Ovis aries: one gene and its partners. The protein of the gene in region 5 interacts with the protein of the main gene of each other region in a biochemical or structural test. Links are inferred from orthologs where the notes say so. Each region holds a gene or a part of one and is shown on either strand. Other genes may lie near its edges. The genes, in order: FGFR2, PDGFRA, BAG3, GAB1, PLCG1, LAT and WAS.

Region 1 (3,500 bases), on a different chromosome or scaffold from region 5:
ATTTTATTATTAAAAAAAAAAAATCAATCTGAAACTATTAAATACATTATTTTAAAATAAATGTATTCTTTCCCTTCTAAAATGTTTAGGCAGTTTTAACCTTTTCTGTTGTTATTAAGACAATTGCGGGAGATTTCCCCCCCTGTCTAAAGGAACACTGCTCCATATCCTCATTATATATCTCTAATTCATTCACTATTTCTCTCTGTTGTGGGGTTTTTTCTGCCTTTGATGGGTTCATCACCTTCCCTGCTCACATCACTTTCTTTCTACAACCAGAGATTACTCTCTCTGCATGGTGAAGTAGCCACTGACATGGCTGAGTGTGGACAGTGAGTGACAGAAGAGGGTTTCTTTTGTAGTTATAGGTTATAACTATTTTATAGAAAAAATATATTTTATCAGAAGTTTTCACTTAAAAATCTTGTAAGTCACTCATTAAAGAAGTGACTCTGTGTATGTTTACACTATGACCACACAGGGTCATGTAGGTCTATGTCCTGCATTATATAGAAGCTAGAATGGCACAACTTCACTTCATCCCGGCAAGTTCATTGGTAAGGGACCATCAGCAGCCCTCAGAGTAATGACCAGCAGCCCTCAGAGTAATGACCAGCAGCCTTCACACTAATGAGCAGGACAAGGAATCCAACCAGCACAGAAACCCCAGCTCCTTCCCTCTCAAATCCAAATGCTGTGGTTTTGGACATTTTTTTCCTCCTTCCCCATCTTTCTACATACACACACCACGGACCCACCACCCACATGCCACAGCGAGGGGCAGCCTCAGGTGGGGCCCTTGTGTCTGGTTTTGTGAGTTGGAACTCTCAAGATGAAGTTCCAAGAAAAGTCAGGGTTTGGGAGGAACATGGTTTCAGTCTATCCAAGCCCGGGAACAATGATAAACTGTACTCCAGACTCCCACTGGGGAGGCTGCATTTCAAAAGCTGTACAGGGGATTCCCAGCAAGGACCCTTGTCTTCTGGAAGGAGGCTCTTACCTCGTTGGTTGTGAGTGTGAGAATTCGATCCAAGTCTTCTACCAACTGCTTGAAGGTGGGTCTCTGTGAGGGTACTGCATGCCAGCAGTCTCTCATCATCATATACCTGGAAGAGATAGATTTCCTTGGTGAGTTACTTCCCTGAGGACTAGGGGTGTGGCTATAAGCCACTCTTAACAGTCAGTATAGAGAGATATCCTCAATTATGAAAACGTATCAGAACTTCCCTAGCAACTGAACTGGCAGGTGGTGATCCACTCTGCCAAAAGAGGCACTGCTCAGTTCCTCTGAAAGGCACTTTGATTTACAAAAACATCACTTTATCCAAAATGCTTAGGATAGTATCTACACCATCAAAAAAGACACTTCTGGGAATTCCCTGGTGGTCCAGTGGTTAGGACTGAGCGCTTTCACCACCAAGGATTGAGGTTCAATCCCTAACCAAGGAACTAAGATCTCACAAGCAATACGGTATGGCCAAAAACCCAAAAAGACACTTCTATCTGTTTTCCTGGTTGACTTCTGGTATCCCTGTGGCAGTGACTTATAACAGGGCATCACATTTCCATACTTCTGGACACTGTGGGAAGAGCCAGGTAGGGGTGGGTGGGAATCCAGTCTTCCCTCCCCACACGCCCCTGCCAGGACCAAAGCTGCTCTACTGTTATCTGCCCGACACTCTGGACAAAGGTTCCTCAGTTTTGAAAAACTGAAATTTGAAAAGCACAACATTAAGGCAAGGTTCTTATGAATTAATCTGTCATCACTGAGCTATGCCTTCACTTCCTGATTAACTCCTGGACAGGCCTACGCTCCCAGGCCTTATCTTGACAATGGGTTTCGACAGACCCTCTATAGTAGAAAAAGCCCCAGGAATGACAAGGAGCACAATAAATGGCTTTATATAATATACTATAAAATGTGACCATTCATCTGATGCCCACTGTGCACCGAAAAGCACTCATGGGATTACTGATATAAAATCCCCATGAAACAATACCCAAGAGACCGCAGTCTCTGGAACAATCCCTCTTCTTAGTTGACACTGGGAGCTGGGAGGAGAGACTCCTTTTCAAAGCACTGATTTTACTGCACAAGACGCTTGTCACCAACACAAGTAATTCCACTTAAAGTACAGGGTAGATTTTGCTCGAAACCAGTTTTATAGTCAGATCAGGATTAACAGTCAGACTATATTAGCACCTGGACAAATTTTTAATCCTCTGCACTGAAATATGGGTAAAATATAGGTAAGCAGATACTAGTTCATTCACCCTGAGGGCTGTGGTCGAAATCCATCTATAATAGCATAGGTCACAAAGAGGCTGCAGAAGCACCCACTCTCTACTCACAGTGCAGAGGCCACAGACCACTCATAAGAAATGGAGGCAGCCCCATGGGTCTCAGGCTTGTGCATGAGGGAAGGCTTGATGTATCTTCCTCTCACTCTGAAGAACAGCGAGGATAGCACAGTGGCCCAGGAAGATTACTGCGGGGCTCACTGTGGAAGGCTAGGAGCCCTCGGCCAAGCACCCAACACCTCAGTGGTGTAAAGCTCACTCCATACCACCCCAGAAGGATGCTCTTTCTTTTGGACAGTCAGGCCTGTCCGTGGAACTCTCTATCTCAGTTCTGGGACTGAGCCCAGGAAGTCTCAGCAATTCTTTTTCTCAGGACATATTTAGAAACCTGGGGACCTTAGGAAACGGAACCAGCCAGGAGAAGCGTTAGTGGCGTGGTGGGTTCCCTGGGGCATCAGGAGAGACAAGAGCCCTTACAGTTCGTTGGTGCAGTTTGCTGGCTTGTCCATCCTATGTCCTTCCTTAAGCAGCTTAAAAAGTTCCTCCACGGGAATCCCTGGGTAGGGCGAGCCCCCTAACGTGAAGATCTCCCACATTAACACCCCGAAGGACCAGCTGCAAAGAGGGGAGAAAACAGCATTAGTAACCCATCTGAATCACAGAAACCTAAACACACCCAGTTAAGAAAACAAACTCCCCCACACTTCTTACATTCAAAGACAAATGACCGGGGCCCTCCTGCAGTTCATCCAACCTGCCCCTTCCTGTCCCCAGAAAGCATCCCCAGATGACGATGAGGAGATATTCTGATGGAATTTTCCATCAGCAGACAACAGATAAGTGATGGTAAACCATCACTCTTTGGGGAGGGTGGAAAGGGGACACAAGGGATGGAGATTTGGTTCTTTCTTCCTCCTTCCACCACTTTCAAATAAAACTCTTTGTCTTTATGCAGTGTTATCAACATGAGCCTCTAAGCTGGAAATACCCCCTCACTGATTCTATTAGGGTGAGTTTCAGAAATGAAACTGACTTCAGTTTTGTATACAGCAAGAGAAGCAGCTCACTGCAAAACTGGAAACCATAAGGCTCTCCTTCTAGGACTGCTGAAGAGAACCAGTGGCAGTGCCACAGGCTCCATGCCTGCCCCAGAAACCCTCCCGCCCACACAAGTAAGAGTAGCTCAATTGACTTTTTAA
Region 2 (3,979 bases), on a different chromosome or scaffold from region 5:
GAGGGGGAGGTGTTGATGCTCTGCCGAGAAAGAGGTTCGTGAAAATACATACTGCCCATCATTTCCAAAATGAGTTTGCCTCTTGATTTCGGGGGACAATTTCCTACACTGCTATGTTGCTTTGTATTTTCTTTGAAAGGAAGAAAAGGAACACGTAAAATTGCAGTTAATGCCCAAAGAGAATATAAATCTGGAGTCAAGAAGTGTCCCTTCTGTAGAAACCCCTAACCCACCCAGAATCCCGGCCGTCGGGAGAGGTCTCCGAGCCGTTGCGTCGACTTGAACCTGGGGTCTTTTAGGGAAAGTGCCGTATAGTTGCTAATCCTTTAATGGGATTAGGCAAGCTGTTGAGTCTAATATGAAGATGATGGGTGGTTTTTTTTCTTGGGCGGGCAGGGGGTTTGCTTTGGTTTGATTTTGTCCAAAGACAGATTTGAAGTAGGGTACAAAGAGTTGAGGGTCTGCCGTAGGTTTGGAACTTTCTCCGACAGAACGACCTTTACTCTCTTAAAGCACTTATCTTGTCTTGCCTTTGTTTTCATGGTTATCTGGGCGAGGTTGTCCTGGCTTCTATCACGCACACAAAAAGGCTCAGGCTTGATCGTCTGCGGAATCTTCTACAACCAGCCTGCTACCTCCGCGTTCAGGGGGAGGGTACAATTTGACTCTCCCCACACCCTCTCCCGACGCGTGGATCGGGCCGTACGGGTACACTAGGGATAAGAAGGGAGCCCCCAACCCTAGCCCTGGGGCCCCAGGCAGGAGACTAAGCCGGGAGAGGGCGATCCTGCTCGCGAAAGAAAGGGGGCGCTGACGCTCCAGGAACCAGACCTGGGCAGAGTGGGGCTTCCCAGCGAGGGCGGGGGAGGGGAGCGCGATTGCCTTCCCCACCTCCTCTAATTTCGAATTCTCTTGTTGGGTGGAGGGCTCAACCTTTACCACCACCCCCGACTCTGCCCCCCCCCCCCCCCCCCACACACACACTTGACAGTGGCCAGGGCGGCCTGGTTTAGGCTGGAATGTGGGACAGCCATCACCTTCTCCCTTACTTAGAGAGTGGACACGGAGCAGCCTGCAGGGGATGTTCACAGAGAAGTACTCGAAGGGGTGCTGTATGGAACTGCGACCGGCTCCTGGGGTGTCAGGTTCGTGAAGACGCCTGAGGCTGGGCTAGGGGCCTCATTCCTCCAGTCCTTCTGCGCAACCGCCTCCCGTGCATCTTCAGTTCGGATGACTGCACTGCTCACTATTACTTCCACATGTTCCTTCAGGAAATCATTGAAGGCAAATATATGAACAGCCCCTTGTTCGGAATGCTAACAGGATACCGTAATGTTTGTAGATAACGAACGGGGACTAAAGAACCCCCCAAAATCGGAGTGCGGAATAATAGGGGGAAAGCGGGTGCTGGATTTCATGCTAATAATAAAATCCAGCTGAGATGCAAATTTTTATACCACGGACTCGAGAGGGTAGGAGGCGAGGCAGGGCGCAGGGCCTACCCAGTAAGGCCTACTTTGCTGCTACGACATTGCCAGCCTGGTCAAGCCGGGATCTCCGGGACGCAGGCCTCTGCTCTCCCCGCCCACAAATGGTAACTTCACAGTTCCTTTCAGAGACGCTTAAAGGGACCCGAAAAGTGGACTGGGCCGGGGTGTCTTCGGGCCATAACTCCTCGCGAGTTTAAAACAGAGAGAACGGATGAGCAAGGAAGCACTCAGTCGTCCTTCTGGTAGTAATTACCTGCCTAATTTGAATGATGCCTTTGTTATGATCATTAACAAACATTTGCTAAAGGTTTCCATGTGTGACATTCCAGAAGGTTTAAAGGCCTGGGGAGCTGACTCCGGGGATGGAACACCGGTGGGGGGTGGCGCAAGGGAAGCAAATGGTTGGGAGATTTCCCCGAGCCTGGGCCGAGCAGATAGAGGGAGGTCAACATCTGCCTCCCCAGCAAAAGCAAAATAAACCCACTAGTCGGGAGCAACCTCGGGGCTGGAGGCCCACAAAAAGAGGCGGTTAGCTCCTTAAAATGAGTTCTGCCCACCCGCCCCTCCCACTGCTCATAGGCGGGTTTGAATCTTGCCGTCCGCCCTCCGCCGAGGTTCAGCGGATTGACTGCGCGCGTCTGTCAACAGGGGCGTCGCGGAGAGGTGGGGCGAGCCGAGTTTCCCTCTCCCAGTGTTGTTCTAAGATCCTTTCAGATTGCTCCCTCGATGCCCGGGGTCCTGGGTGGTCCAGGAGCCGCAGCGGGCAAGAAATGCCTCCTGGCCGAGGCGAACTGAGAGGTCTCTTCTCTGTCTGCTTCTGCCCGGGGCGTTGCGGGGGACCCACCACCCTGAGCTCCCGGAGGAGTGACCCTCGCCGGCTTGGGTACTTGAGCGAATGTCCCAGCCTCAACCCGGATTTTGATTTTCACCTCTTGTGTTTTTCCCTTGAGAGATCATCATGGAATTACGAATGAGGGTTTTTCCCTCAAACCCGCAGTCGAGGCGGCTGCGACCCTCTGGGAAGGAGGCCCAACTCGAGAGATGAGCCACGTTAGGGGAAGTTAGGGGAGCGTGGTGTTCTGGCGTGGCCTTGCGCATCTAGGCCCTCAGGCGACAATGAAATTGGAAGCAAGAGATGGAGCAGAGCCAGCCATCAAAAAGAGCCCCCCACCCGAAGTTTTTAAAACCAAATCCAAATGATCCCTGAAAACAAAACCAAAATCTCTCCCCGGCTCGCCTACCCAACTCCCGGGCGACCGCGACGGGCAGCAGCCCCGGGTCACACCTTTGAGTTTCGTGGGCGTTTCCCCGCTGAGTTGGCTTTCTGTTTCTCTTCTCCTTCTTCCCGGCGCTCCAGCTCCACCCCCCAGTTCTACTTTCCTCGGAGAATTCAGAAGGTACTTGGGCTTTGGAAGACCTCTGATTACAGCAGTTATCAAAGACGATAGTAGCGAAAATCACCTTTAAGCCAAGTCGCAGTTGGTCCTTTCAAATGAAGTTGGGGGTTTGTGGTGAGGGAGGGACGCACTTCTAGCTTTTTTTTTTTCCCCCCTAACTTTCTGAATTGAAAATAAAGGGCCATTTGGTGGCTGGGGGGCGGAGGGAGGCGCTAACTGTCCCATTTCCCACCCTCTTTCAATTCTTGTCTGAGCCTGCAAGAGACACCTCCCTGGGCCGGCAAGGGACCTTAGTGAGGAAGGCTCCGAGGAAGCTTGCGGATGGTGGGGTTCCCGCCCTTGCCTCGGGTCTGCCCCAGCTGAGGTTTGGAAGCTTGCTCTAGTCTCTGCAGCTCAGAATACAGAGGCCCAAGTCTTATTAAAAGAGGAGAAAGAGGGTCCAGACAGGCTCGTGTAACTTGGGGCGACAGTTCTCTCTGGGTCCCCCTAAACACCTCATCTTCTTGCTGGTGGCTGACTAAGGGTGCAGCGTCTCTTCTGGGTTCTTAGAGGCTTTCTCTTCAAAGCTTTGTCTCCAAAGAGAAGTCCAAAGCCATTCCCCGTGGCTGGAGACCAGCCGCGCCTCTGCTAGGGCTAGGGTTCCAAACACTTGAGCCTGCTTTGTGACCCGAGGACCATAGACTGTGAGCTCTGTTTCCCACTCTGACGAGCCCAGGGAAGGACTAAGCTCCCCAGAGCTGAGAAAGACATGGTGGGACTAGACCCCCCCTGGGTCTGGATTCTTGGATACCCTCTTCCTAGGGAGAGAGCACGGCTTTCTCAATATGGAGAGGGTTTTGCACCACCTACTCCCCTCTCCTTCTGTTAGACCTTTAGCTTTTAGTTACTTTTAATTTGAAAGCCGTGTGAGGGGAGAGGGAGGGATCGAGGAGATTGGGAGGTCTGCTCTTTATTAGGGGCCTCAGCATCCAGCTTTCCAACTCACAGCTGTGGCTTGGGAGGGGCAGGAGGGCTGGCTCTGTTTAGGTCAGCTTGACTGAAGAAAGGGCCTTGTCCTCAGGAAGTCCCAGGAGTAAGGCAAGGGCTAATGAT
Region 3 (3,500 bases), on a different chromosome or scaffold from region 5:
AAATTTTCGTTCAAGGAGAAGTGTTAGTTTTCTAGTCCATAGACGTGAGATGACCTCAAGCAGTGTTTTCTAAACAAAGCCTGCCACACACCCCCGCCGCCACCCACCAGAGTATCAGGGCGCCTGCCTTCTTTTAGACACGACAATCATGAAGAGATGCATGGGGTTTTTATGAAACGGCATAAATGAGCTGTTTGTTCACAAGGAACCGGAAGTGCAGGCCGAAGATCTATAGGAAAGCAGCCTCTGGGCCCCTCCCAGCCTCCCTTTTTTCCTGCTTGGCCCCTGACGCCCCCGACCCGGCCTACAGCGACCAGGCTTCCCTCCGCTGCCCCAAGACCCAGGCCAGGTATTGGCTGTGCTCTCACAGCCCCAGGGCAGGCGGAACTGCTCCTCTGCCTCCTCCCCTTCTTCCTTCCTTTTTCTTCCCTTTCCATTTTCAACTGAGGCACAAAATATATTCGGCGAGATGCATAAAATGTATTGGCAGGCCCGCCCTCGGACCTTCTGGATCCAGGGGCTTCCCCCAGGAGTGGCCAGGCCTCACTCAGCCAGGCCTCTCTAAGGCTTCCAGGCCCCGGAGGCTCTGAGGTGGAGGCACGGCTAACAGCAGGGTGGTGGGGGGTGGCTGCCCTCAGGGGTTCAGCCTGGGTGGACTGAGGCAGGAGATGGGCAGCGTGGGGGCTCCAGAGACGACGAGACTGTGAGAAACCGCTCTCATACATGGGTGTACACTCATTTATCTCCACCACCCAGAGAGAGAGAACTTCTCCATCTCCTCAGAGGGTCCCTTCCCAGACGACTACCATTTCCTCCAGGTGTGTCCACCTTCCTGACTCCGGTTACCACTGGTTAACTGAGTCCTTCAGATTTGATTCCTTTGATCCCTGGGCGTCTTGAGTTGAAGCATCCTGTGCCCGTTTAAGAAGGGAATGTCTTTCAGCCCCCTGGGCAAACCCCTCGCCATGGGCACTCGTAACAGCTCACTACAGACCTGTGAAGTGGGTGTTGCTAACTCCATGTTCTAGCAAAGGGGATTAAGGCTCCGAGAGGTGAAGAGACTTACCCCCAATGAAAGAATGGTTACTAACAGAGGTAAGAAAGAACGGGAGCCCTCTTTAGGAAACCCCACCCTACTAGAGAAGCCCAGGTGGGCCCCTGTGCTCTCCAGGCGGTCGTCCTGTTTGTTCCACGCGGCCCTGGCCGGCAGGGATTGAGCCTTGCTGGTTGTGAACCATCGTACCCAGTAGCTTGGGAGCAGGCTGTTCACCAGGGGCCAGCCAGCGGACGAGGGCTGCTAACCTGCCCATCTCTGCTCTAGTGCGTGGCCAGGAGGAGGCCAGCAGGGACACCGCCCCCCGCACTTGTCCAGGCTCCGCTCCAGGCTGGAGGGATGGTGCCCCAGGGCGAGGACGAGGTGCCTAGCCGGCCTGTGATGAGTCAGCACCCAGCAGCACGGGCCTCCTTCAGCGCTGCTGCTGCCTTCCTTCTGGTGCCCGTCTCGTGGCAGGAATGCGCTTCTGAATGTGACGCCTGGACCCACTCCCTGCTCTTGGATGACCCGAGAGTTAAGCAGGCTAAAATAATGCCGCCACCCTGAGCACGTGGGTATTCTAATCTGAGAGTACCGCCTGTCTGCCGATGTCCCCAAGGACACGGCAACACTCGGGCCTCTCCGAAGTGCTGGGAGGCCCACTGGGGTGGCGAGCTCAGCAGGAGGCCAGAGAGAGGTTCACAGGTCTGAAAGATCTAAGGTCCAGGGCTTGCCCTCCTTGTGACCAGCTTCGCCCCAGCGGGAATAGAGCCTCAAGCCTTCTGGTGTTTGCCATTCAGGGGGATGCCTCGTAAGGAGGCATAATAGCTTGTCCACTTGGATCCATAGAAGTGGCACGAATCCTCAGCCCCCTCCTCTGTGAAAGGACCCTCTAGTGCTCAGGAGATGGTCAGGACAGAAAGCCGCAGGGGTCCCTGGCTTCAGTTGCCCAGCCTTTGCTTGGTGAGGAGTGACATTGCCTGGTGAGTGACTGGCCAGCCTTGTTGTCTGAAACAGGATCTTTCTCTGTGGTACATCTGGAACTTGGCCTTCTCAAGGGTCCCAAAATAGCCAGGCCACTGAAGAGAGAACTTCATGAGAGGACGTAGGAGGGACCCCAGCCGCTCCTCGCCAAGCAGGCTTTGTTGGCATCACAAGACCAGCACAACTAATCCCCGGGTTTTGTTCTCATCCTGTGCTTCTTCTGCATTCCTCGGGTATCTCCCTTTCTTGCCGCTTGTTCTGAAAATATTCCTGAGGAGGCTGCCTGCCCGCCGCTGCCCCTTCTCTGCAGATTTCTGAGCTGTAGCCTGTGTCGAGGGTCCCCCGCGAGTCTGCGTTGTCAGGAAATGTGAGGACCGTTTAGGAAGCCGAGATGCCGGCTGTAATCCCCTTAGCGAGTTGGCATTGAATCCTCCTAGCATCTTCTGATCTGGGTCTCTGAAGGTTTGGGAGGCTGTCGGGGACTCCGCTGTATGCAAGGCTGCCTTGTCATCCAGAACAAAAACCTGTTACCAGCTGGGGAAACTGGGACTTCTCCTCTGCGCCACAGATAACCTTGCTCGTCTCTTTCTTTTTCTTGATGCTTCTCATTCTTAAACTGCTGGGCCAGCAGCAGCTTCAGCAAGGGAGGAGGGGTCTGGAAGAAGTAGGGGATCGGGGGAGGTACCCACAGTTTCTGTGCTCAGCTGTCCTTGCTCCTGGCTGGCACCGTGGGGCCCAGAGTCACTCTGAAAGATCAGAGCATGTGGCATTATGCTTTCTCCTCCTCAGGGCTGTTTCCTTCTCAGTTTCTAACAGGTCTGTGTCTCCTCTCACTTTTAGGAAACCGCATCCTCTGCAAATGGGCCTTCGCGGGAGGGCCCCAGGCTGCTGCCCACTAGAGAAGGTCATGCCGTGTACCCTCAGCTCCGGCCAGGCTACATTCCCATCCCCGTCCTCCATGAAGGCGCCCCGAGCCGGCCGCACCCTGTCTTTGCCTACTCCCAGCCCGGGACACAGCGCTTCCAAACCGAGGCTGCTGCAGCAGCTCCCCCGAGATCCCAGTCACCCCTGCGGGGTGTGGCGGAAGCGAGCCAGCCGGATAAACCGAGTGCACCAGTGGCAGCTGCTGCAACGGCCCAGCCTCCAGCTTCCCATGGACCCGAGGTAAGGAGAGGCCTGGCTCACAGGCCGATATGACCGTGACCTGTGTGGGCAGGGGGAGGGATGGCGGGGAGCTGGGTTTCATGCTTCCTGGGCTGCCCCAGACCACAGATGACACCAGACCCTCATGACAGCTCCGTGAAATGTGGGGTATCGGGGCCTGGCCGGCATCACACAGCAAAGATAGCTTGCTGACAGCCCCATGTCCCCCCAGCATTTCACAGGCTGGTTTTTCTGATGAGCAGAGATTGTGGTTTGTTTCTGAAGCTCAGGAACTGGGGCTCAAGAAGGGGTAAACAGCTTGGTCCAAAAGCATAAAGTC
Region 4 (3,500 bases), on a different chromosome or scaffold from region 5:
CCCTAACTGAAAATGTACAGAATTATTCACAGCACTGCAGGCTATGAACAGAACCCTTGAATTCATGTGATGTACACGTTTAATCTAAGTAAGTTGTTCCTAAAGTGAATTTCTTAGGATTGCTAGTTAAATTGTGCTCTGTCTAATAATTAATAGAACTGGCATTTTTTTCATCCTTAAGTATTGTTAAAATCTATGTCTCGACAAAAAAGTCTGTTTGCTCCCTATCTAATCTCAACTGGGAACAGCCCGTGTCTGCCTTCTAGTTTTTAACACAGTGTTTCCCCAAAAGAGTTAGAAAAACCCTAAGATTCTAGGAGTTATTATGAGGTGTTCTGTGAATTAAAAGAAAAAAAAATTAGTTGGGACTTCCCTGGTGATCCAGTGGCTAAGACTTTGCACTTCCACCGCAGGGAGCAAGCGTTTGGTTCCTTAGTCAGGGAACTAAGATCCCGCATGCCATGTGTCACGGCCAAAAAAAGAGAAAAAATAGTAGTGCTTTGTTTTTCTAAAATTCTTGAAAAAAATACATACAAGTATTAAACATATTTTTGTTATTGTTACAAACAATATATGTCATTAGTAATGATGTACCATAACTTGAATTTCAGGTGCTTAATTAAGTGAATTTCGTAACTTAATTTTCAACCCTTAAGGAACATGAAGGGTTCATTTCATGAATGCTTGATTTTAGATCTTTGTGTAAATGAATACACAAAGCATCCTGAGCACCCTGATTTGAATCTGGAGAAATGCATTATAAAATGCTTCCAGTATAACGCATTTTCTTGAATGGTTTCAAACATCAAGTACATATGAAAAGAAATATAACTGGAAAATTTTTTATCATCTTTATCTAACTTATATCTACTTTACAGATATAGTATTACCCTCTGACCCGATATTGGTTTTAGACTTTATGATCTGCTTTTCAAAAGCATTTTAAAAACTCTCCTTAACTTCTTATTCAAACTCCTCACTCTCCAGTATGGAATTAATTAAAATACATACAGAGCAAAAGAAAAAAAAAAAGTCCTTTTTCCTGGAGTAAACAAAGAAAGGTGGATGGGTAACGTGTATGAACTGGAAGAAAGGTTGAGCGCGAACGACTCAGAAGGGCTGCTGAGGAAGAGAGATGTTAAGAGAAGACGCTACTCACGGAGTCTTCACTGGATAGGTTGGGGTTCATCGGAACGTAATTCTCTTCACTGTCGTGCGAGTCGCTGCTTGAAGTTGTGCTGTGCACAGAATCCGGCCGGGGAGACAGGGGGAACCTGGAGGAGCTGAGGGCAGAGAGGGTCGTCACAAACACACAGCCTGACCCAGGTTTCTCAGCTCGCTTCCACAGCAAGAATAAGAGAGAGGGCATATTCTTCCCAGAAGAACTGAAGCTTGTAATCATTTACTATACATATTTACTATAGTCCACTTTATTGCAGACATTCAAACACATATCTAGTGTTTATAGCTATTTGTAAACAGATATTTAAAGAGAAACTTATACAGATATTAAAAAAAAAAACTTTGAAAGGTTACTTTCCATTTATAGTTATTACAAAATGTTGGCTCTATTCTCCATGTTGTACAACACATTCTTGAGCCTATGTTACACCCAGTAGTCTGAACCTCCTACTTGCCCTTCCTTACTGCGATCCCCCACCCTGTGAGGGGATGCTGTGCTGTGCTAGGTCGGCTCAGCCATGTCCCACTCTTTGCGACTCTCTGGACTGTGGCCCACCAGGCTCCTCTGTCCATGGGATTCTCTAGGGCAAGAATACTGGAGTGGGTTGCCATGCCCTCCTTCAAGGGATCTTCCCAACTCAGGGACTGAACTCACATCTCCCCATAAAGGGATGTTTCTGGGCATTTAATAGCCTTGTGCAGAGCAAAAAAAAAAGAAAGAAAAAAAGTATCGCTAGTGATATGGGGGATAAATAGAAAGTCACAGCTTTAAAAAGGAAGATTTAAGCATTCTTATTTTTAAAAAAACTTGTTTATACATATAAAATATGAACACATCAACACAGGTTTGTAACTGTGTACATTCTTTTTATTTCCACGTATATATTTAAATGAATCTTTATTAAATAATCCTCACAAGAAACTACCATAGTTTCCAGATCAGTAGTTCTCAGAAATTTCTAGCCTCATGAACCTTTCACATTCTTAAAAAATTATTGAGAACCCCAAGGAACTTTCGTTTATAGGGTGATATCTATTGACATTCACCATATTACAAATAATAGAAAAAAAATTAAGCACAGGCATACACAAAGGCACACTCTCTTAGCTGCCACAATGGTTATCGCCCAGTATTAGCCACCTCTGGAAAACTCCAGTGTACACTCATGAGAGAAGGAGAGTGGAGAAGCAAATGACATCTTAGTATATTAATGAAATAGTTTTGACTTCACAGAAACCCAAAAGGGGAGGGGTTCCCCAGACCATCCTCTGGGAACCACTGTTTTAGGTACTTTCCATTACAAAGAACAATTGAGCTATGTATTTTATATAAAGACTTACTCTCGAGCAAAACTCCTAGTGATGGGAGATCTAACTGGGGCTTGTAATTCTTCCCATTCTGGCAAAGGTTTTATTTCTAAAGGTGCTGGCTTGACTGAAACAAGAGAGAGAAAATGAGATTTTAGTACATAGAAATTTGGAAAACATGACCTTCTTTCTACACCTCTACTATAGCCAGAGTACACCTAGGACTGGCTAGTTTTCACATGAAAAGAAGTTCACAGATGTTATGTGATTTCTCCAAGGTTACACAGCTAAAAAAATTAGCGACAAAGGCTAAATTAGATAATTTCCTGACTGTTTACTGAAAGTCTAAATAAAGCTCTATTATTACATGTTGCTTCTTAATTGAAGTACATATTTTATGACTATAAACTTAATGAGAAGAAGAGTAATGTGGCACAATTCCTTCAGAGTTATTTGATTTATAATTTTCATTATTTCCTTATTTTATTTTTTCTACTAATGTTATATCGTCAAACACAGAGGTTTAATTTTCTATGTAAAAATGTTCCTCATTATCCACACTGAAGCATGAGCTGTGCAACTTTACATACAAAATGATGTTTCGAAAGCAATAAACATAACACTTTGCTAAAATCAAAAACTTAAAAAGGAATCAATGATTAAAGTTTTGAAATTAATTCGGGTCCAGTCTGGAACCAAATAGAACAAAGCAATAATTACGTCTTTATACTCAAACTCAGATCTGAGAAAGGCCATAAAATTAACTACCTCAAATGTTTAGCTTCTTTTAACCAACAATGTCCTCTATTAAATTAAGTAAAAATAAATGCTAATATTCTTATTAGCTTTATTTGTAAGAGGTCTTCACTAACTTACCCCATTATTGCAATCAATTACTGCAAGAATTAACTACTCTGCTAGTATATACCACAGAGCTCTTTGCCCTCAAAGTAAGACTCAGATTCCAGGAATACAGAAAATGTGCAAAAAGAAGTACAACACTATTAGCT
Region 5 (4,299 bases):
GGTCCCTGTGCTCCTCCCTTCCTGCTCCCTCACCCTTTTGTGCAGCCACACAGTCCCAGTCTAAGAGTGACAGTCATAGTCTATCACCGTTGTCATGAATAACAGCTTACATTTATTAAACATTTAGAACGTATCCAGCAGCACAGGAGTTGAAGGCAAGGTTGGATTTGAAGCCCACGTATATTGTCTTACATTAATCCTCTCCTTTATCCCCCTAGAATAACCCCATTTGGTGGAGATATTATTACTCCCACTTTACAGATGGTGACACTAAGGCTCAGAGAACTAGCTGGCTGGGGGCGATACACAACTAATACATACGGGCTTCAAACCCAACCTTGCCTTCAACCGCTGGGCTGCACTTCAACTGCCTGCTGGTCCCATGCACGGTGTGAAACACAGCCTCTCAGCCAGGAGAAGTCTACCTGGGAACCTCAGCCAGCTGCTACCAATTCAGGAGAGCCCGGGGAATCCACAGACACATGGAAGGGCCATGCCTGGAGTCTGACGCCAGGGTGATGTCCCTCCAGTCCTCTGCAGGATATGTCCTTCCTCCACTCTGGAATCCAGCCTCTCAAATTCTCTAACATTTTCTCCTGCAGGCTGCCAGGGCCCGAGGAGGGGTCACGGAGGAAGGTGGCTGTCGTGTGGAAGTTCAGCAGCTGTGTGAGATCTGGAGTGTGTGGCTGAGGATGGCTGTCTCACCACAAGACCTTCCTTCCTCCCCGTCTCCTCAGTCATCTACACGCCATACCCAAGGTCTGGAAGACCTTCTCTTGGGGGGTGTCACTTCCTGAACCCTCTTCCTCTACACAGTCCTAATTCTGAGCCTGGCTCTAACTCCAGTCTCGGGGTGGGGGTGGGGGTAGAGGGGGTTCTTGCAGGAAGCAACCCACAGCCTGGGGTTGCAGACACATCATCTCACACTTGGAGGTGGGCGAATGGAGGGCAGAGCTGGGGGGCCCATCCGGCCACAGCACAGGCACGCACTCAGTGGAATCACTCTCTGAAGGATCTGGGGTTTTTCAAAATCCCCCAACACACTCTTTCCCAGAAGCAGCCAAGGTCAGGTCTGGGACAGCAAAGAGGCAGGAAATAGTAGCCGCTCCTGGCTCCCTCCAGCCACAGGACGCAGGACACAAAGAGCTGGACCCCAATTTGGCTGCGTCCTCTTGAAGAGTACCTGACACGAAGCAGCGAGGCTGGGCTTTCTGGGGCCAAGCTCTGGAGAATGTGCTTCCAAAGGACAAGGGGAAGGCTGGCCTCTTTCCCTGCCCTGGCTTTGGGAGTCTGCCCACGCACACAGACCTCCAAAATTCAGTTTCAGGACAAAAGAAGCGGCGGGAAAAACATCCACTGCCTCCTCTCGGGCTTTTCCAAACCAAACAAGACCACCTTCCTCCCTGGCCCCAAGAGAGAGATGAGTAGGCCCGGCTCTGCTCCAAAACCAGCCCTACGCCAACAGCTGCCTAAGTTCTACTTGGGGAACCCAAAGGTTCCTTTGTAAGTAGGAGCCCGGCCGTGAGGCCCAGAGGTGCACCAGATTGCTCTTTTTGGAAAAACGGTGCATCTGGTCTGGCCTCCGGTTCCGCGGCTGCCGGGGAGAGGACACTGCCTCGGCCGACACCGCTCCCGGGGTGTCGGGGGACCCGACGCCGGCCCCGCTGGTCTCCAACTCGCTAGGATTTTTAGGCCTCTGGGCAAAGCGCCTGGAACACTCCCCCCCTTGCTGGGGGAGGGGGTGTCCTGTCAGGTGACTGAGGACCCGGATGCCCCCCGCCCCCGGTGACCACCCTGGCCGAGGCGGGGGCGGGGCCCGAAAGTTCGCCGGAGTCTCTCCAGCGGCGGCCCCCGGGCGCGCGCAAGCCGGGGCGCAGACCCCGCGCCGCCCGAGCGCGCGCGCCCGCGCAGCAGGCCCGGGGAGCCGGGGGTGTGCAGCGAGGGGGAGCGCACTTACTGGCCCCCTCGATCTTGTCGGCGCCTCGGCTCCACGTGATCTGCCGCGTCTCCAGCTTGACCTGGAAGGTCTTCCGCTCGGGCCGCTGCGACTTCTTGGAGTAGAACAAAGTCATGACGGTGCCCACCTCGAGGCTGCGGCAGAGGTGCACCACCTCGGCGTCCGAGGGCGCGCCGGGCCCGCAGCCATTGGCGCAGGGGGACGCGGCGCCCGCCATGGCTCGGGTGCCGGGGGCGGCGGCGGCGGCGCAGGCCCGGCGGGAGCGAGCTGGCGGCGGCGGCGGCGGCGCAGGCGGCGGGCGAGCGGACCCCGGCGGCGGCGGCTCCTGCGGGCGGAGACGGGGCGGGGCCTGAGCGGGGGCGGGGCGGTCCTGCAGGCCCCGCCCCGGCCCGCGCGCCGGGAACAAAGGCGCCCGCGCGCCCGTGGGGAGGACCCCCGCCCGCCGCGCCTGCGCCCCGAGACCCCCCGGGCAGGCCCCGCGTCAGGGCACGCGCGCGCGCGCCTCCCGCAGTCCGCCAGCCGGGCCCACGGCCCCGCGGGGTCTCTTCGCGCCGCCCCGGACACAGCCCGGCTGCCACGGCCGGTCCCGTCACGCGCGGCAGCCTCGCGCCGGCCCGGCCGTCTGTCGCGCGCGCACAGGCGGCTGCCCAGCCCACCGTCCCGCACAGGCCCGGCCGCGGCGGCTCCTTCCGAAGCCCGCTAGCGGGGCGACGCCCGCGCGGCCACCGGGAAAAGAAGTGCAGGCCCGGGGCGCCTCCCGGGGCCCGCCGGTCAAACCCGGTACCTGGGAGGGCTGCCCGGCTGAGGGAACCAGGCCAGGCCGGGCCGCCTTAGACCGGCGGCGGCGGCGGCGGCGGCGGCGGCGGAGGAGGAGGCGAGTCCTCCGCGCGTCCTCTCCAGGGCGGGGCGGGGGCGGGGCCACCCGGTGATTGGTCGGCAGGCTCTGACGGACAGTCTGAGTGTCCCGCCTCTCCCCCCTCCCTTCCCCGGGCAGCCGGGGGCGGCCCCGCCGGCAGCGCCTCCGACCGTCGGACCCACGATCTTCCTGGCCCTGCGGCCGAAGTGGCCTCGCGGGTGTGTGTGGGGAGTCCCGTTATTCGGAGTAGCCCACAGGCCTGAGCATCCCCTGCGAGCCCTCCAGTGGTCTTGGCCTGGCCATACACTTCGCACCCCCACGCCGCGAGTATCCACGCGACTAGGATGGGGACTCAGGCCCTACGGCTCCGCACCATTCCTGCAAATGCTCTCCCGAGCTTTGGTTTTCCCGGGCCGACTCTATCCCTGTTTTCCTCCTCGGTCTCTGGCCGCTGCCTTTCGACACCTCAGCAACTTCTCTTGCTCAGGGGTGGGTCCTGAGTCAGTTCCCAAGGCGGCCTGACCTCTCAGCGTCACTGCCCCCCGCCCCCTGCCAAATTCAGGCACCCGAGCGCCGAAGCTCTATCCCTCCCTGCATCCCGTTACCTGTTCCACAACCCCACGTAGCACAGACATCTCACATCTCTCTTCAAATTGCTTCTCCCATGGTCTTCAGTTTCTCAGAACATGCCTCTGGTAAGGTGCTCGGGCTAAAACCGATGGAGACAGCCTTGGTTCCTCTCTCTCTCTCCCTCAACCCCACAGCACTCCGTCAAGTCCCATTCCGTCTGCCGTCCCATGTCTCCGCTCTGCCCACAACCTCAAGGCCCATCTTCTCTCATCCAGACTATTTACCCTCCTTGGTTTTGCCTGCATGTATTCCCTATGCTCTAGTTTGTTTGTTTCTTTTTAAATTTGGCTGTACCGGGTCCTAGTTGCAGCATGCAGGATCTTTTAGTTGGGGGCTGTGGGATCTAGTTCCCTGACCAGGGATCGAACCCAGGCCCCCTTTGTTGGGAGTGCAGTCTTAGCCATTGGACCACTAGGGAAGGCCCTATGCTCTGGTCTTCAAAATGAAATTAAATCCTGACTCCCTACCTCCAGGCTCAAATCATCCAGAACTTGCCATGGCACACAAAATCCCCTACCTGGCCCAGCAGGTCCAGCATGGTCTGGCCCCTTTCTATCCCACTTCATCTCTCACCACCTCCCTTTCATTCCATTCTCCAGGCACAAGTTCTTTTGGTGATTATTCGATTAATCTGTACTCTTTGTGTTGCTACAGCCACTCCCTAGACGCACCCCGGGCCGTCTAATTGCCCTGTCACAGAACACCGCCCAAGCTAAAGACACCTTCAGTCACAGTAGAGCCTGTCTGACGGATGTTGAGCCAGACAAAGCAGGACAGCATACTGCATTTTACAGGTAAGAGGCCCAGCAGGGCACCCAGCTGATGCTAGAGAAAGATCCAAGGAGTTCCCTGGTTA
Region 6 (4,018 bases), on a different chromosome or scaffold from region 5:
CCGCCATCTTCATCGAGAGCGACCGCCGGCAGGCTCAGCTGCACGTGCAGGGTCGGTCGGGCCTCCCCTCTGTCAGTCCACAGTTCCCTGTCTAGCTTCATGATGCTGCCTGCTTGTCTGTCTGTCTGCCCGCCCAGCCCTGTGTACCTGGCCTCTCTCAGTCCTCAGCCCTCCCCTTCCTCGGCTTCAGGGCTGCCTGACCCATGAGCTCATGCCCTGCTGTGTGCCCATCAATGCTGCCCTGTCCATTTGCCACTGCTTGTTCGTCCCCTTCCTGGGCCTGTGTCTGTCTGTCCATCCAGCCCTGGCTCTGATTCTCTTCCCTGGCAGGTCTGTTGCCTGAAACCGGGCCCACCGATGACCGGATTGTGGTGCCCCAGCGAGGACGCTCCACCCGGGTCCCTGTGTCCAGTGTGCTTATCTGAGGGATCACCGCTTGCTATCTGCAGACCTATCACAGCTGGCCCTGGGCCCACCCCAGGAGGTGCCCAGGCCCCAACTCCTCGGCTAGCCCGTTTTCCGGGAGGGGCCTTGGGCCGTGTTCCAGCTCCCACACACTACATGGGTAGCCAAGTGGGGACACTGGGGGCTCGGGACGGGGGAGCCCCTGCCCCTGGAGCAGCCCTGGGGGCTCGGTGCTATTTGTAACTGAATAAAATTTGTAGCCAGAACCCCAAGTGCCTGCTGGAGTCTCTCTGGGTTAGGGACCTCTGATCTCTGGATGGTGGGGGATGCCCCCTCTCTACCCCCAGGGTCCCAGCGGCTGTCGGGTGACCCCCGTGGGCCCTGGGGCAAAGCCCTGTCCTTCTGGGCCGGTGAGCATTGGGGTGGAGTGAGCTGGCTTTGTGTGACCGTGAGTCATGCCCGTGTCTCCCCTAGAGCCCGCCCTCCGCAGGCCAGCCAGGGCGAGGTGGGGGTGGGCACACCCAGGGGCCCCTCAGAATTCCCGGTGTCGGAGCCTCTCTTTGCTGCCTCCGTGAGCCACAGCTGTGGAGGCCGCGGCCACTGACTGGCCTGGAAGCATCTTTCCCTCCTCACCCCCGCTATGAGTTGCCCCTTGCCAGGGAGACCAGCTGACCCTTCTGGAGGGCCCAGGGTGGCTCCTGAGGTGGCCTCCTCCCCCTCCTCACTGGCTGAGTGGGGGTGGGAAGGGGGCGGGTGCAGCTGGCTGAGCCCCGATGATTTCCTGCCCTCACCCGGCGCTCACCACAGCTTCCTGCCACAGGCAGGCAGGCGCTGAGGAGAGGCGGGCGCGGAGCGAGGGGCAGGTAGGGCTGGGGCACAGGGTCTGTGTAGGGGTGGCTGGTGCCCCAGACTCCAGCCCAGACCCTGGCCTGACCACCCTGGGGTCCAGGGTCTTCCAGAGCCAGCGCTGACACCCGCTCAGCCCAGCGAGGGGAGGGGATCCAGAGGAACCCCTGCCTTCAGGCTCTCAGCCGGCCGCCGGTACCCTTCCCGGCCTGGCCCTTGCCCGCTGCTTCTCTGTGTGGAGGGGTGTGCAGCGAGCAGCTGGGCCTGGTCCAAGCAGATGGAGGCGGTCAGCCTGCCTGTCTACGTGCTGGGGCCCCTGCTGCTGCCTCTCTTGGCCGTGTTGCTGATGGCTCTGTGTGTCCGTTGCCGGGAGCTGCCAGGTGAGTGGGTGCCAGTGGGTTGACCAGATGCCCAGACACACTGCTAGGGATCCTCACTCCATTCTCTGACCTCTTCCTTCCCTTTAACTGTCTGTAACTCTTTCTTGCACGCGGAGACGCTGAGAGCCCCATACTCCATCACCCTCTGCCCTCGTCACCCTCTTTTCCTGCCTCACGGGCCCTCTCTTCCCCAGGCTCATACGACACTGCCGTCTCCGATAGGTGAGTCTGCCTTGTCGACCCCGTTCGACTCCCTCAATGCCCCGTGTGGGGCTGGGCCCCTGGGGGCCTGGGGTGGGGTCCAGGGCCTCTCCCAGCTGCTGACCTGAGCTCTGTCTCTCCTGCCAGTTTGACCCCAAGTAGCATCATGATCAAACTGCCTCGTGAGTACATGAGTGTCCCCTCCCTTGGGTGCGGGGAGAGGGTCCCCTGGCCTGGGAGAGCGTGTGCTTTTGTTCATTTCCCCGCTGTGGCCGCCCACATGGCCTGAGCTGGGGGTGGGGAGGGAGATCGTGTCTGCCCGCCCAGGACTCTCCAGGGCCCTGGGGGTGGCAGGGGTCAGTCTGCCTTTCGAGGCCTTGTCCAGGGTAGGGGTGTGAGGTGTGGAGTCATTCCTTCAGCTTGGTCCTGTGTCCTCAGCCACACTCGTCCCACGACCATCGACCACTCCCTACCCGCTCCCGAGCCAGCCAGACCTGCTCCCCATCCCGTAAGTACCAAATCCCCTCTTTAACCCCTCACCTCCTTGGATTGGGGGCCTCTTGCCCTGTTGCAAGCCCTCTCCCCCTAGAGCCCCACCCTAGTATGACCTCTGACCTTTGACGCCCAGAAGGTCCCCGCAGCCCCTCGGAGGCTCCCACCGTATGGCGTCGTCCCGGCAGGACTCAGATAGCGGTAAGCCTGGAGCGGGACCCACAGGGCTGGGACCACTGGGTAAAGGCCCCCTCCGAGCTGACTCAGTCTCCCTCTTGCGTTCTCTCTGCAGCCAACAGCGTGGCCAGCTACGAGAACGAGGGTGTGACTGGGACCCCTGTGGCCCCGGCTGGGAGGCGGCTGAGACCCGTCCTGGGCTCCGCTGACCCTGTGTCGTTACCCCCAGAGGCAGCCTGTGAGGATGCGGATGAAGATGACTATGACGAAGACTATAACAATGAGGGCTACTTGTGAGTGGCCAGGTGGGAGGTGGGGGCCGAGGCCAGGGCTCCTCGCTCACCTGACCCTTGACTCCCGCAGGGTGGTGCTTCCTGACAGGGACCCGGCCACCAGCACTGGCAACGCCGTCTCACAGGCTCCTGCGCCCAGCAAACCCGGCCTCCGAGACAGCGCCTTCTCCAGTGAGTCGGCCGTCTGACCACTCCCTGCCCCTCCGTGCTGCGGCTCCTCGGTCTTCCCTCTCCTCCTGGATCCTTGCGCCCCTCCATCTTCTCGCTTCTCTCTTTCTAGCCCTCCTGTCCTTCAGCTAGGGGACTTCCGGCTCCGATCTTCTTTTCTTTTCTCTCCTCTTCCCTCTTGATCGTTTGCCTTTTTGTCTGCAAGATTTCCTTGACTCTATTCTTCTTTGGGCTCCGAGCTTTTGTCTTTCTTGTCCAAAAGCTCTTTCTTCATCTCTGAATATTCCTTTCTCAGAGCCTCCTCTCTTGTCTTATGAAGGTGATATCATCTTGCAGATCTCGAAGGATAGTGATGATCAGCTGTCTTTTTTGGGTTTCTTTGGAAAGTTTTCTTCTGCTTCCAGTGTTGTTTCAGTTTCCTTTGGGCTACTTTTCGCTCTTCGTTTTGGTTTCATCCTGCCTCTTGGAGGCTTTTATCAGTGTCTTGTGATCTTCAGTGTCCGTTACTCTTTTCCTTCTATGCTTGCTCTGTGCCATCGTGTCCACACCCTGGCTTAATTTGCCATCCGCATCATCCCTAACTCATGGCCTCTCTCTTGGGCCCCAAACCATCTGTCCAAGTGCTTATTTTCATTCATTCATTCACTCACTCATGTTCGTCCATCTACTCACACAATTCAGCCATCATACTTACTGGTTGCCCCTGAAATAATCACTGCTAATGAGTCTGAGTGAACTCCGGGATATGGTGATGAATAGGGAGGCCTGGCGTGCTGCGATTCATGGGGTTGCAAAAAGTCGGACACGACTGAGCGACTGAACTGAACTGAACTGAATGAGAAAAAGTCATGATTAAAGCAGCTCGCATTACTGAGGACCTCATACATTCGCAGCTAAAGAGTTTTATGTGTATTTGTTGTTGTTATCTAGTCACTAAGTCATGTCTGACTCTTTTGCAACCCTGTGGACTGTAGCCCAGCAGGCTCCTCTGTCCACGGGATTTCCCAGGCAAGAATCCTAGAGCGTGTTGCCATTTCCTTCTCTGGGGGATCTTCC
Region 7 (4,013 bases), on a different chromosome or scaffold from region 5:
TCATTGATTTACTCAATCATCCATCCATCTATTTATCCACTCACCCACATACCCATTCACCTACATCTATACACCCACCTGTACATCTACATCCTCCCATCAATTCGTGCCCCCATTTAACCATCTGTCCACCACCAATCCATCCACCCACACATCTATCCACCTATTCATTCACCTATTTATCACTGCACCCACCCATCTACTCATTTATCTGCCCACGCCCCACCTGTGTATCTATTCATTCTCCCACTCCTTCCATGACCATCTAACACACTGATTCTCCCAACCGCCTTCCTGTCTCTCTTATGCTCTGGTTGGTAGGTAAATGGGTCAATGGCCCAGTCACCCATTTTCCCCACAGGCCCAGCAGCTAGCCCGGTGTCTCTGGGGCTGGTGATACCTGCCCACCCAGAGACACAGGAAATATTCAGCACTCACCCCCTTGGTCTCCACCTGGGTGCGGGGGCAGGGGTGGGAGCCCTCCTCTTCTCTCTGGGAAGATGGAATGGATAGAGAACTATCACAACCCTGCCTCAGTTTTCTGCGCTAGCCCCTTATTACTCCTCCTTGCACTAGAGGACTCACCTTCACTGGCTGGCACTGGTGGAGGCGGGAGCTGGCGCCTGTCTGTGGAGAGACAGGAAATCAGAATCAGGAGAGGGGCTTTTCCAGCTCCCCACTCTTGCCCTCACTTCTTCTCAACCTCTTTCCCTTCCCCAAGGCCTTCTTACCCCCGCTTTGCCTCTGATTCCGTTTTTGTATCTTCTCCTGCACCAGGTTCCGGAAGGCCTGGGCCTCGCCCTCGTCTGCAAAGTTCAGCCCCGCTTGGCAGTCCTGCACATGCCTGGGGGGTCAGCTGCCTTCCAGACCTCCCCACACCTTTCCCCTCTCCTCCTTGCACCCCAACTGAGGCCCAGGGTTTAGGTGGTCACTTACATCTCCAGCAAAGGTGTGGAAAAAGGGGGTGGGAGCAGAGTAGACCAGCTGTGAGTACAGCTCCTGTTCCCACAGCAGCCGGCCAGCCTGGAGAGGGGGGAGCACACTGGCACCGAGGCACACCCTGGGTGGAGGGCCTCTGTTTTCCAGATAGGGAGCATGGTATACAAATTTGGGGCCCCAAAATCTGATTTGGAGAATTCCAGCTCAGAACTGAGGAGCTGGGAATCTAGGAGTCAGATGTGGAGGATTAGGGTACAGTATGGGAGTCAGACCCTTCAGCGAGAAACTTGGATTTGGGGTCCAGATGTGGAATAAGGGGACTTGAATTTGAGGATTTGGGACTCTAGTTCTAGGAAACTGAGTCCATTCAGAGAATCTGTCCCAAATCCCCCCCTTATATGGGGACCTTCATTAGGTCAGGTAGGGTTCCAGTATTAGGAGTTGGGATTGAGATTTGAGGTTCAGAAATACAGACTTGGGAAGGGTTTTTGGAGGGGGTTGAGCCAATTTGAGATTTGGAGAGCAGAGTTATAAATTAGGAGTTTGGTCAATATTTGATGACCCTGGGATCTTGATGCGGTTCTACTGGGTCTATCTTTATCAGTTTAATGGGATGAATTGGGGGTTTATGCTTGGAGGATTTAGGTTAAGGGTTTGTGGAATAGGTTTTTGACTTATGAGCTACCGCAATACTTAGGTGATTAGGAGTTTTCATATAGAAGTTCTGGGATCCAATGCTGTGGGCTTAAAAGGACAGATTTGGAGTTGAAGATTCAATGGCATACTTAGGTTTGGGATTTGTGGAACATATTTTTGACTTAGAAGCTAGGCAAAATTCTGGAGTTCAGGAGTACCGATGGGAGGTTTCTGAGACCTAAAATGTGGAGTTTCGAATAGACATGAGGTTCAGGTAAAAATATAGTATATGTGTGTGTGTGTGTATATATATATATATATGGAGTTTGTGGAACAGATTAGATTTAGGGGGTATACTAATATTGGGGGTTACAGATCTTGACACAAAGACTCTGGGGTCAGTCATCACAGGCTTAGAAAGACAAACCAGAGGCTGGCATCTGGATAAAGTCTTTGGTTCTAGAGCTCAGGGGGTTCACTGATCCGTCTGAGGGCTCAGGGCTATGGACACAGATCTGGGTTTATGGGTTGAAAACTGGATTGTCTGTCCAGTGGTGGGGCGGGGATCACCTGAAGGCCATAAAGGCGGATGAAGTAAGACTTCTTGGGGTTATCCTTCACGAAGCACACAGCTCCACAGTGTCCCTTGGTCCAGTGCTCGGCTCCAGGGGGCAGCGCCAGGTACAGCTGAACAACCGCAGTGGCCAGCGTCTGAGAGGGGAGAGTAGGACTCGTTGGAATGCAGTCAGGGGCATCCAGAGGGTCTGGGAACCAGTCCTGGCCCTTTCTTGCCTGTGGCCATCATGGCTCCAAAGGAAGAGCCACAACCAGAGGGAAAGTGAATGAACATTGAGTTCTTCCTGGGATTGGTGAATGGGGGTAAGTGGATTCTGAAAGGAGATGATGGAGAGGAAGAGGAGGAGAAGGAGAGGAGGATGGGAAAGATGAGGAGAGAGGAAGGGGAGGAAAGGAGGAGAGGGAGAGGATGGGAAAGATGAAGAGGACGAAGAGGAGGAGGAGAAGAGGAGAGGGAGACAAGGAGGGCCAGAAGGTCCCCAGCTCACCCAGCACTTTCGTCCGAGCATCTCAAAGAGTTGTTGGTTCTCATGGTCCTGGAGGAGGGTGGACGGGATGTTTTGCTGAACCCCTTGTCCTCCGCGGCCCCCAGGCCTGCCTCCTGAAGGGCCCCCACTCATGGTGCCTCCTGCCCTTGTCCTCTCCGGCTGGGCTCTGAGTGCAGGGTAAGAAGAGGAACTTCCGCAGTGAGTGGGGGAACAGGAAGTGCAAAAAAACCACAAGGGAAACAAGTCCTCTAGGGGCCCCTCGGTAGGCCTGGCCTCCTCCTTTAGACTGAGGCCCTCCTCCATTTGACTGGTTAGAGCCATCTTTTGGACCAGCTTTTGTCCTCCTTTCTTACTCTCTGGGGCCCATCTCCCTCTGACTTCTTGGACCCTCCTCCCTTTGGTTGGCTGGCAGTGAGGGATAGGCCACTGCAGCATTTCTGCAGTGCCACGGGGGGCAGTCATGGGCTGAGCGGCCTTCTTCCTCCCCAAAGCATCCAGTTACTCTGGGCCCAAGGTCCAAGGCTCTGGTGCTGAAGGGTTATTGCAGTACAGATTTTCCTTTAATTACATAGCAAGCACCTGGGACCCCACCTCTCTCCTGAGACCCCAACTCGCTCACACCTGGCTCAACTTCCCCATCCCTACCACACCATCGCATTTAGTTGCTGTTGCTTCTGAACTTTTGAAAGTGTGTAATCTTTGGAGTCTCTTCTTTTCCCCCACTCAATACTCTATATTTTATTTTATTTACTTATTTAGGCTCTTTGCGATACATGGGCTTCTCTTGTTGCAGTGCAAGGGCTTCTCCTTGTGGTGTTTGGGATTCTCTTGTGATGCGAGTGCTTAGTTGCCCCTTGGCATGTCAGATCTGAGTTCCTCAACCAGGGATCAAACTCACGTCTCCTGCATTGGAAGGCAGATTCTTAACCACTGGACCACCAGGGAAGTCCCTCAACATTCTATTTTTATCTAACTAATATTCATGTAGCACTGAACATGTGTGCCAGGCACTCTTCTGACCTCTTTGTAAATATTGACTCGTATAAACCCTCCTATTGGCCTGGGGGAAACACGCTATTTTTGCCATTTGATGGAGGGAAACTGAGGCCCAGAGTGGTTACATGATTTCCCCAGTAGCTCCAAGCTAGCATGCCAGGCAGGTTGGTCAGTGTGCACTTTTCATCAAGATGCTCCACCGCCCGCTCTGTTACTAAGATTCATATTTGCCAGTAGCAGTAGTTGTTACTGCTATATAGCATTCTATTGTGTTACTCTGCGTGTGTGTGCGCATGCTAAGTCGCTTCAGTTGTGTCTAACTCTTTGTGACCCTTTGGACTGTAGCCTGCCAGGCTCCTCTGTCCAAGGGATTCTCCA

The links.
Region 1: the proteins of PLCG1 (region 5) and FGFR2 form a complex in vitro, tested with the Homo sapiens proteins (2 studies listed by BioGRID and IntAct). The link is inferred for Ovis aries from reciprocal best matches to the Homo sapiens genes PLCG1 and FGFR2.
Region 2: the proteins of PLCG1 (region 5) and PDGFRA form a complex in vitro, tested with the Homo sapiens proteins (2 studies listed by BioGRID, with this or other methods). The link is inferred for Ovis aries from reciprocal best matches to the Homo sapiens genes PLCG1 and PDGFRA.
Region 3: the proteins of PLCG1 (region 5) and BAG3 form a complex in vitro, tested with the Homo sapiens proteins (2 studies listed by BioGRID). The link is inferred for Ovis aries from reciprocal best matches to the Homo sapiens genes PLCG1 and BAG3.
Region 4: the proteins of PLCG1 (region 5) and GAB1 form a complex in vitro, tested with the Homo sapiens proteins (2 studies listed by BioGRID and IntAct, with this or other methods). The link is inferred for Ovis aries from reciprocal best matches to the Homo sapiens genes PLCG1 and GAB1.
Region 6: the proteins of PLCG1 (region 5) and LAT form a complex in vitro, tested with the Homo sapiens proteins (2 studies listed by BioGRID and IntAct, with this or other methods). The link is inferred for Ovis aries from reciprocal best matches to the Homo sapiens genes PLCG1 and LAT.
Region 7: the proteins of PLCG1 (region 5) and WAS form a complex in vitro, tested with the Homo sapiens proteins (2 studies listed by BioGRID). The link is inferred for Ovis aries from reciprocal best matches to the Homo sapiens genes PLCG1 and WAS.

Annotation. Positions count from the first base shown.
Region 1 is NC_056075.1:40,990,030-40,993,529, forward strand, and holds part of FGFR2 (fibroblast growth factor receptor 2), read right to left. Parts: intron 2,917-3,500; coding exon 2,779-2,916; intron 1,107-2,778; coding exon 1,001-1,106; intron 1-1,000. UniProt on the Homo sapiens protein: Tyrosine-protein kinase that acts as a cell-surface receptor for fibroblast growth factors and plays an essential role in the regulation of cell proliferation, differentiation, migration and apoptosis, and in the regulation of embryonic development.
Region 2 is NC_056059.1:70,434,933-70,438,911, reverse strand, and holds the start of PDGFRA (platelet-derived growth factor receptor alpha), read right to left. Parts: upstream 2,801-3,979; 5' UTR 2,732-2,800; intron 1,266-2,731; 5' UTR 1,050-1,265; intron 1-1,049. UniProt on the Homo sapiens protein: Tyrosine-protein kinase that acts as a cell-surface receptor for PDGFA, PDGFB and PDGFC and plays an essential role in the regulation of embryonic development, cell proliferation, survival and chemotaxis.
Region 3 is NC_056075.1:39,302,553-39,306,052, forward strand, and holds part of BAG3 (BAG family molecular chaperone regulator 3), read left to right. Parts: intron 1-2,857; coding exon 2,858-3,181; intron 3,182-3,500. UniProt on the Homo sapiens protein: Co-chaperone and adapter protein that connects different classes of molecular chaperones including heat shock proteins 70 (HSP70s), e.g. HSPA1A/HSP70 or HSPA8/HSC70, and small heat shock proteins (sHSPs), e.g. HSPB8.
Region 4 is NC_056070.1:14,499,040-14,502,539, forward strand, and holds part of GAB1 (GRB2-associated-binding protein 1), read right to left. Parts: intron 2,618-3,500; coding exon 2,524-2,617; intron 1,284-2,523; coding exon 1,160-1,283; intron 1-1,159. UniProt on the Homo sapiens protein: Adapter protein that plays a role in intracellular signaling cascades triggered by activated receptor-type kinases. Plays a role in FGFR1 signaling. Probably involved in signaling by the epidermal growth factor receptor (EGFR) and the insulin receptor (INSR).
Region 5 is NC_056066.1:69,782,716-69,787,014, reverse strand, and holds the start of PLCG1 (1-phosphatidylinositol 4,5-bisphosphate phosphodiesterase gamma-1), read right to left. Parts: upstream 2,801-4,299; 5' UTR 2,742-2,800; exon of another isoform or gene 2,389-2,741; intron 2,283-2,388; 5' UTR 2,175-2,282; coding exon 1,958-2,174; intron 1-1,957. UniProt on the Homo sapiens protein: Mediates the production of the second messenger molecules diacylglycerol (DAG) and inositol 1,4,5-trisphosphate (IP3). Plays an important role in the regulation of intracellular signaling cascades.
Region 6 is NC_056077.1:26,377,513-26,381,530, reverse strand, and holds the start of LAT (linker for activation of T-cells family member 1), read left to right. Parts: upstream 1-1,218; 5' UTR 1,219-1,528; coding exon 1,529-1,631; intron 1,632-1,747; coding exon 1,748-1,853; intron 1,854-1,979; coding exon 1,980-2,014; intron 2,015-2,270; coding exon 2,271-2,340; intron 2,341-2,460; coding exon 2,461-2,525; intron 2,526-2,616; coding exon 2,617-2,794; intron 2,795-2,864; coding exon 2,865-2,965; intron 2,966-4,018. Other genes in the region: SPNS1 (protein spinster homolog 1), read left to right, coding at 1-51, 331-425. UniProt on the Homo sapiens protein: Required for TCR (T-cell antigen receptor)- and pre-TCR-mediated signaling, both in mature T-cells and during their development.
Region 7 is NC_056080.1:56,408,888-56,412,900, forward strand, and holds the start of WAS (actin nucleation-promoting factor WAS), read right to left. Parts: upstream 2,801-4,013; 5' UTR 2,772-2,800; coding exon 2,640-2,771; intron 2,287-2,639; coding exon 2,146-2,286; intron 1,024-2,145; coding exon 937-1,023; intron 835-936; coding exon 732-834; intron 628-731; coding exon 586-627; intron 493-585; coding exon 439-492; intron 1-438. UniProt on the Homo sapiens protein: Effector protein for Rho-type GTPases that regulates actin filament reorganization via its interaction with the Arp2/3 complex. Important for efficient actin polymerization. Possible regulator of lymphocyte and platelet function.